Nothobranchius furzeri: one gene and its partner. The protein of the gene in region 2 purifies or fractionates together with the protein of the main gene of each other region. This does not show direct contact. Links are inferred from orthologs where the notes say so. Each region holds a gene or a part of one and is shown on either strand. Other genes may lie near its edges.

What was found.
Region 1: the proteins of psmd1 (region 2) and psme1 fractionate together in Homo sapiens (co-fractionation; 3 studies listed by BioGRID, with this or other methods). This does not show direct contact. The link is inferred for Nothobranchius furzeri from reciprocal best matches to the Homo sapiens genes PSMD1 and PSME1.

The regions. Positions count from the first base shown.
Region 1 is NC_091747.1:42,055,406-42,059,835, reverse strand, and holds the start of psme1 (proteasome activator complex subunit 1), read left to right. Parts: upstream 1-1,573; 5' UTR 1,574-1,799; coding exon 1,800-1,838; intron 1,839-2,082; coding exon 2,083-2,115; intron 2,116-2,188; coding exon 2,189-2,251; intron 2,252-2,342; coding exon 2,343-2,444; intron 2,445-2,946; coding exon 2,947-3,004; intron 3,005-3,161; coding exon 3,162-3,259; intron 3,260-3,344; coding exon 3,345-3,413; intron 3,414-3,494; coding exon 3,495-3,562; intron 3,563-3,754; coding exon 3,755-3,809; intron 3,810-3,908; coding exon 3,909-3,995; intron 3,996-4,372; coding exon 4,373-4,430. UniProt on the Homo sapiens protein: Implicated in immunoproteasome assembly and required for efficient antigen processing. The PA28 activator complex enhances the generation of class I binding peptides by altering the cleavage pattern of the proteasome.
Region 2 is NC_091748.1:61,518,338-61,521,984, reverse strand, and holds part of psmd1 (26S proteasome non-ATPase regulatory subunit 1), read right to left. Parts: intron 2,946-3,647; coding exon of another isoform or gene 2,702-2,945; exon of another isoform or gene 2,508-2,701; intron 975-2,507; coding exon 860-974; intron 1-859. Other genes in the region: htr2b (5-hydroxytryptamine receptor 2B), read left to right, coding at 2,702-2,945.

The DNA.
Region 1 (4,430 bases), on a different chromosome or scaffold from region 2:
TACTGAGTTCAACTACAGATGCTGACATGAAGATGTTCACCATCTTCCACTGACATCCTGACATCTCTAGTCTTAAATTATCCCCACGGGTTTAATACATGGGTGAAATCTGCTTCACATAAAAACAATATGAGTTGGACTACAAAAGCAAACCATAAAGCAAACACAATAATGTCCCTGAGTTTGTACAGAGGCTGTTAATATTTACCTGCATCCTGTAGGTCTACTACAGGTCTTCTATTGACTCCAGTCGGCACAACATTACCCTCTAGTGGTCATGGACATAATTAAAACTAGAGCGTCCACTGGGGGGAAATTAAAAATATATATTTTCTGCATACTAGCTCTCAATGTTATATTTAAATTTAAATATATAAAAACAAATAAACAGAACTCAAAGAACGTGTTTATATTTAGGATCAGTGGTCAAATATTTATAAATTAGAATTATTTGTTTAGAATCTGAACGTAAAATTTTCCAGATTTCCCAACTTTCTTTCCCATCAGTGGTAGCCTGGCGGGCCATGCAGATTCTAGGCTATGTCAGTGGGTATTGTTTGGGTCTCCCTGACCAAGTTATGCACCGGGGCGTTGTTGTCTGCTCTCACAGCTCTGTTGAGATGGGAATCAAACTCTTAAATATTAATACAAAAATACAAATATCTGTATAGTACAAGGGTATTCAATTCTTGGTCTGGAGAGCCGCTCTCCTGCATGTTTTAGTGGTTTTCCTGCTCCATCACACTCAATTCAGTGGCTGAATCGCCTGTGCAGTAGCTCATCAGGCTCTGCAAAAACCTGTTAATCACCTGCTGATTGAAATCAGGTGTGTTGAAACAGTTAAAACCAAAACGTGCTGGATGCGGCCCTCCAAGCCCAGAATTAAACACAATGGTCTAGTGGATTTAATTTAGGTTTATTTAACCAAACTACCAATGATGAAAGCATATTTTTCATCTTTTAACAACCTACTTGGCACAAAACTGGCCTTTATATTATTTATTTATTTATTTAGACCAGTTTATGGACTTAAATTCAATGCAGTTTCAGTCACTGCCCTGCCCCATTATGAGAAAGTACGCCACCTAGTGGAAAACAGTAAAAACTAAACATTTAATCTGTGAACGGTCTGGAAACCCAAAGCGGAGCGGTTAACGAAATTATGTAAATACTCATATTATTATTATGAGAGCCAATAAATGACGAAGGAAGTACGATGGAATGATGCCAGCGTTGTGTTAAATGGGAAAGGGGACACTTTTGACACATTTTAGGGTAATTCACCCAAAAATTCACACCAAGGGGAAAACATTACATAAACTGCATTATAAGAGCCAAAGGGATATACAAAAACACAGCAGTGAGCACAAAAATGCTTTTGCTTGTACGTATTGTGCGTACATCCCTCAGCTGGTGAATGTGTGTGATTCAGTAGGAATGACTGCTGCCATAATTAAATTAATGGTCTTGCTGCTCTTTGATGCTCCCTTTACTTGAGTAGATGTCCACCTTCAATGAAAGTCAATTAAATTATTCATGTGTCTTTTTCTATAGGGCTAAACGCATCGTGAATTCAGAGCTGGGTTTAAAACTACACATCCCACAATGCATGGCGGCAGGTCTGGGGAAAGTACGGAACTGTCACAAAATACTTTCATTTTCTGTTTTAATGCTGAGTAACTGCGTCCATTTCTCAGTGTCGAGTTACAGAGTCTTACGCTCTTCTTTCTTCTGCTCCTGCATCATTTTATTACCGTTAAACTTATTAAATAAGTTTGTTTTTGACCAGCAGAGTCGACATGGCGTCTTTGGGGATTGGCTTCGAATCGAAGAAGCAGGTGAGCTCGGTTTCTTTGTTTCCTGTACCAAAACCGCGTCGAAACCACTTTGCCCTGAACACTTGGCGGGTGTGAGCAGCTCACGGGTGTTTGATTAGCAGACCCACAGCAGGGCTGAGGTCAGGGGTCAGGACTCAGGTTGGCTGCAAGGCCTGTACTCCTGCCAAAATAAAAGCTCAAAATATCGCGAGTTTCAAAATAAAATGGGGTTCCGCTGCTGCTCATGAATTTTATTTTATTTTAGGTGGATGACTTCTGCCAGAAGCTCTCCAAGGAGGTAACTTTTTTTGTGTACATAGATTTAATTTTTGTTATCTTAGTAGGTCTATAAACTCATGTTTTTGTTTCAGGCAGAGGAGCTGCTGTCAAAGTTTTTCCCAGAGAAGCTTGAACAGCTCCAGATGTTACTGAAGGTACGAAGCTGATCGTTTCAGATCAACAGTTATTTAAAACAACCCAGATAGAGCTCTGACAGCTGTGGAGTTGCTGTTGTGTTTGTGTCAGACATCTTTCAACTGCGAGGACCTGGCCTCCATAAAGGCTCCGCTGGACATCCCTATACCAGATCCAGCTAAAGAGGAGGCTAGGCGCAAGAAGAAGGAGGAGGTTCGTCCCACACTCCAGGGGTCTCTTAATACAGCCTGTCCAGCAGTAACCGTGATCATAAATGCAACAGGCTCCTGGTATTCAACCTTCTTCAGGGTTGAGTGGAGCCTCTAAACTGGGGTCCTCAGCTCAGTGTATATATTTAGGGTTTTATTGTGGGTTGGCACTGCTGAAACGAGTCCTTAGTTACCATGGCAGCCAATCACTGTGTAATTTCCAAGTGCTGTTTAACAAACTGACAGTGTGTGGGCCTCGTGATGCTCCTCAGTCTCCTGATGGGGTTGCACACTGGAAAATGTTCAGAATCTAATCTAATCCGGAGAATGTCTGAAAGTGATCGGGGTTTGCTGCAGCCTGCAGTAAAGGCTTTAGGTTGGAATGCTTTTTTAAATAAACCCTATTTCTTATGCAAAGACAACAAAGGAGGTGCTTATTAAATGAACCAAACAGATTAACGCCATTTAAAGCGTCTGACATGACTCTCTTTGTTCTCGTGCTGCAGAAGGAGGCTAAGGAGGGAAAGAAGGACAAGGACAGTGAAAAAGAGGAGGAGGATGCAGGTAAGTGACAGTTCTGATCAAGATGGCGGCTGATTAACAGCGTCTAAAAATAGCTGCATATTCATTCATTCACTCCCAGGAATAAAACTATACTCAGGTTTTGTTAGAAGGAATTTTATTAGATACTGTGACCATGTTGGGGTTGTTTTTCCTCCAGGACCTCCATGTGGGCCCATCTACAGCAACGAGCGAGTGGAGAGCCTCCTGAAGGAGGTCAAACCTGAGATTCAGACTCTGAGGGAGAAGCTGAACACGGTCAGTCAGCCTTAGGTTAACGTGTGAACGGATCACTTATCTTTAGGAAGCCTCTAGTTACCAAAGACTGGTGTCCTTCTGGCAGGTGTCCATGTGGGTGCAGCTCCAGATCCCTAGAATTGAAGATGGTAATAACTTTGGGGTGGCGGTGCAGGTTGGTAACAGCTGAGAATGTGATGAAACCCCACAGCTCTGACATGAATCTGATTTTTAAACGTTTATTTTCGGTAAACAGGAGAAAGTGTTTGAGCTGCTGACCAACACACGCACCAAGATCGAAGCATTCCAGACTCAGATTTCAAAGTAAGACCCTGCACCCTTCAGCTGAAGCTAAACAGGTGGACCAGGTCAGGTCTCTGGTCCTCGTTTGGGATTGCTGTTGCCCCTTTAGCGAATGACTTCTTGTGCTCATCGGTTTGTTGTAGTTCTGGCGCTAAATGGTAACAAACAGCAACGAGCGGTTGTGATTGAGTCGTTCCTTGTTTATTGTTGCAGGTATTACAGTGAGAGGGGCGACGCTGTGGCCAAGGCCTCCAAACAGCCCCATGTGGTCAGTATCCCACATCCACCATGGTTATCTTCATCCTAACACAAGTGTTGATTGTGAACGCTACCCTGAAATGGTGATGTTTGTGTAAAACTGCTGCAGGGAGACTACAGACAGCTGGTCCATGAGCTGGACCAGTACCAGTACTGCGAGCTCCGCCTTGTGGTCTTGGACATCCGCAACACCTACGTAAGGCTCCTCCTCCATGGTTTGGATGTAAACGATTCCAGCTGTTTCCCAGCGTCAACCACGGCTAAATGCTATCCCTGCTTCATTAATAGGGTGTCATGGAGGTGGGCGGGTAATTAAAGTAATAGCCTTGCTTGTGTTAAATTGATTACTGCTCCATATGCAGTCCATTAATCAGAGTGTCAGGTCCCTGTGGCCATTGTCCCCTCGTGTTTGATGCTGTTAATGGGCAAGGCTTCTCAGCCCAGGATGAAAGGGGTTGCTGGGTGGAGGAGGAGGGGGTGTGTTACCCCCTCTGTCTTGGATCTTGTGCTGAATCTTTTGGGAATCTAACAACCGCCCTCACGAGTCTGTCCGTCTGGTCCTTGTCTCTCCAGGCCGCGCTGTTCGACATCATCAACAAGAACTACGACAAGATCAAGAAGCCCAGAGGAG
Region 2 (3,647 bases):
ACCAGTTAATTTAGAGTTTTTTTAATGCCTAAATAAAAACAGATCACCTGATATGACTGGACTGTAATATACCTCTCCATTCACAGGCTGAAATGTTTACGTTGGAGCACAAGTTCAGTATTTTTTCCCTCAACAAGTTCTTGCTTTTCTTCTTTTGGTTATAAAACAAACATCAGCCCAGTAAACGTTTTACTGGACTGATGTCGCAAAGAAACACTCCCAGTAAATAGCGGATTGAGTTCACCATCACCCTCGCCGTCTTCTAATGTCCTTGAGGTATTGTTTTGGAAAACAACAACACTTAGAGCAGCACTGGAGCTGCTCGGAGGCTTAAGGTGCAGCGAGCCACATCGGCCTGGACAACTTAGGAACTGGCAGCAGCCCCAACATTCGCCGTTTTCACACATGTGAATGAGCCTGAACACATGGACAGAGTAAAGCCCCCGATGACTGAGAGCCATCTTGGATCATTTTATTGGCTAATCTGCAATCCTTCCCTTATTAAAAATTACAGTAAATCCTAATGGATTAGAAGAAATTAGATGAGAGAATTTCTTACTAAATGCTCCAATTGCTGTAGAACTCAAATATTAGCCAAATGGCTAAAATAATTCTACCGTAAGGAGGCAACTCTTTAGTTTTACAGATGAACCATTAAACAGCTGCTGAGTGGAGCAGCCTTCATTCAGCAAATGTGATCTTTGATGCACAGGTTGTACCAGGAGGAGGAAAAAAGCACACAGCTAAAATGCAGTTAATATTTATTTTATCTTTTAGAAACAAAAGCTCGTCAAAAAGGACAACGATGATCAAATGGTTTGACTTGAAGAAAGAGGATGTTGTGATGGCAGGCTCTCACCTTGTTGCCTGTTCCGGCGCAGCAGATGCCCAGAGCCATGGCGGCTCCGCAGCGCACGTGAGGGTTGTAGCTCTCCGACAGAAGTGACACCACACTGGGGCACTGCTCCGGAGTCCTGCAGAGGCACGATGAGAGGATGAATATGGAGGACTGAGTGAGGACACTGGACATGAAGAGTCAAAGACATTTTCAGTCTTTAACTCAATTAGACACAGACTCTAGAGGTGCACAGACCAAAAGACAACAGTATCAGACATACGAGCAACCCTTTAACACAACCTTCACTAGATCTGTTATGAACCGATTCTGTATTTGCACAAAAACAACAACGTAGGTTGTGGATTGTCCTGTGTGTCATCTTTTATCAATGGGCATGTTCTCAATCATTTCAGCACTTGTTAAAACACAAATTCTTGGTTTCAGTGGAAACACGCATAAAAGAGTGTCTGTTTAGCAAAAGAAAGAAGCTTGGAGTCTAAAAATCTAAGAGGTAAAGTTCCTGTCTGACTGTAACAGCGTGCATCATATCTGAGAGTACTGACACAAAGCTGACTGTGTTGGATTTTGTTAGCCCAGAAGTCTGATTTCACTGGGAGAAAAAGGAAAAAGCTGTGCAGTACAGTCATCACACAAAAGGGTACCCCCCTTAAACCACTGCTGCACCAGTATAACTGCTTGTTTCAAGAGGGGGGGGGGTCGTCTAAACAGTGGGACAGCCGTGTTGAAAGGAATTACCTCCCTAAGCCACTGGCATGTGTCCAGCAAGAGGACATTCATCTGTTTTGTATAGAGTTTGACTTGCAAAACGAAAAGGGAAGGTGGGGGGAGACAACGACTGACACAAGAGGAGAGTGAGCCGACTGCAGGCAGTAAGAAAGAACCAGTGAGTAGGAATGAGAGCGAGGCGGAGGGGCCACAGCATCTGAAAGTTTTAAACCTGTCCTGCAAAGCAAGACCTTGTTCTAATTCGCTCCAGCGTGTGGAGCTAACCCCACCCCATGGATTACTAGACGTAGCTGCTGCAGGAGGTGATTCAGTCACATCACATTCTTACCTTAGGAGCTTCGGAGTAGAGCAACGTGGACTCTGAAGAGCACCGGCGCCGAGCTGCATGGCTGTCTGGACTGAGCAGCCAGGAAAGATACTCGGGAATTTACAAGTCAGAGAACTTCAGACAATAAAACCCCGACAAGAAGGTAAGAAACCAACTCTTTAAGGTTCAGAACTGTTCCGACTCTCACACAACCACACAACTCTGTGTGAGCGGAAGAACGGGAGCACCGAGAATTATTCTGAGCATTTCTAGTTACAAACGCCTCACAACATCATCTGTAGAAGCAAGTGGGCCATTATTAATTCTTTGTTATAGCCGAGAGATTTACTAGAGAAACGAAAGGCCTCTAGGTTAATGTTTATTACATCACTCTTAAGACAAATGAAATCAGGTAACAGCATCAGCATTTCCTAAACAGACATTTCTCCTTCTTACACACAGATGACTGGAGTATGAGCAACGTGGGAATGTGAGGTCTCCAGCTACGGGTCGCCAAGGAAGTATGACTTGCTGTGGGATTATTCTAGCTTTGGACTTATTAGATCTTCTTATTTTCGTGCCTCTCAAGCAGTGACTATCTGAGAGTGTCAGCTGTTGGTTTTGATTTGTATTCTTTGCTGGAGATGATGCGTCTCATGCACACGCCTTGAGTGGTCCCGCCATACCCTTCGCCATTGCCCGTGGGACCCAGTGACCATGCTGACCGAGAGTCCAAAACCAGAAAGATCAGAGCCTCCACCCACGCTCAGGCCCGCTGGGATCTCAGCAGCAACACGCCCCTGCCAGTCATGGCGCATTTCAACAACAGTTTGCACGCAGGCGAAGCGCCTGAGATTCAGCTGAAATGGGCCGCCCTGCTCATCGTCATGGTTATTATCCCCACCGTCGGAGGAAATATCCTGGTCATTCTTGCTGTGTCGCTGGAAAGGAAGTTGCAGAATGCCACCAACTACTTTCTGATGTCACTGGCTGTGGCTGATCTGCTGGTGGGACTTCTGGTGATGCCCCTCGCACTCATCACGGTTCTCTACAGTAAGTTCAGCAGGAGGGCCTTGTGTTTCATGCAGCGATACGATGTTCTATCTCTAAACATCTACAATACCAAACCTCAGATGTTCGATACTACAGAAAGAAGTTCTGCTTAAACTGAACCTTTATTTTTGATGGTTTTAATCACATTTGATTCATATGAGATCTTACTTTGCTTAACGTGTCCAATTCCCCTCCCAAATTCCAACTTGACGTTACATTTTAACTTCTATAAGGACCTAAAGCCGTTTACCATCACTGGTCAGGTTGGTCAGGTTACACAATATAATAAATGCATTCAAGTACATTAGAAAAGGATCCCAATTTTTGAGACAAGCTACATATAATCATGACCACTTGTTAAATTATTACAATATAACTGTATAAATAAATGCCTCCTTCTGGCCCGGCTGACCCAGCAGCTGCAGAGCCAACCGAGGGTTAGAACACATGGGCAGAAAAGAGCCAACTAATTTATTTAATCCCTCTAATTGTGCAAACTAAATACAGCTGCACAGGAAATAATTTACACTTCTGTTCCCAGTGTTCGAATACGACTACGAAACTCAGGGTGACGCTGAAGCCCTTACTCTTCATTAATTCGATTGTAGGATAATGAGCCAGATAGTAATTATGTCTCTCACACAAGAGTGGAGGATAGAGCAGCACAAAGCTGCTTTTGTAGTCCAGCCTCTCCATCACCAC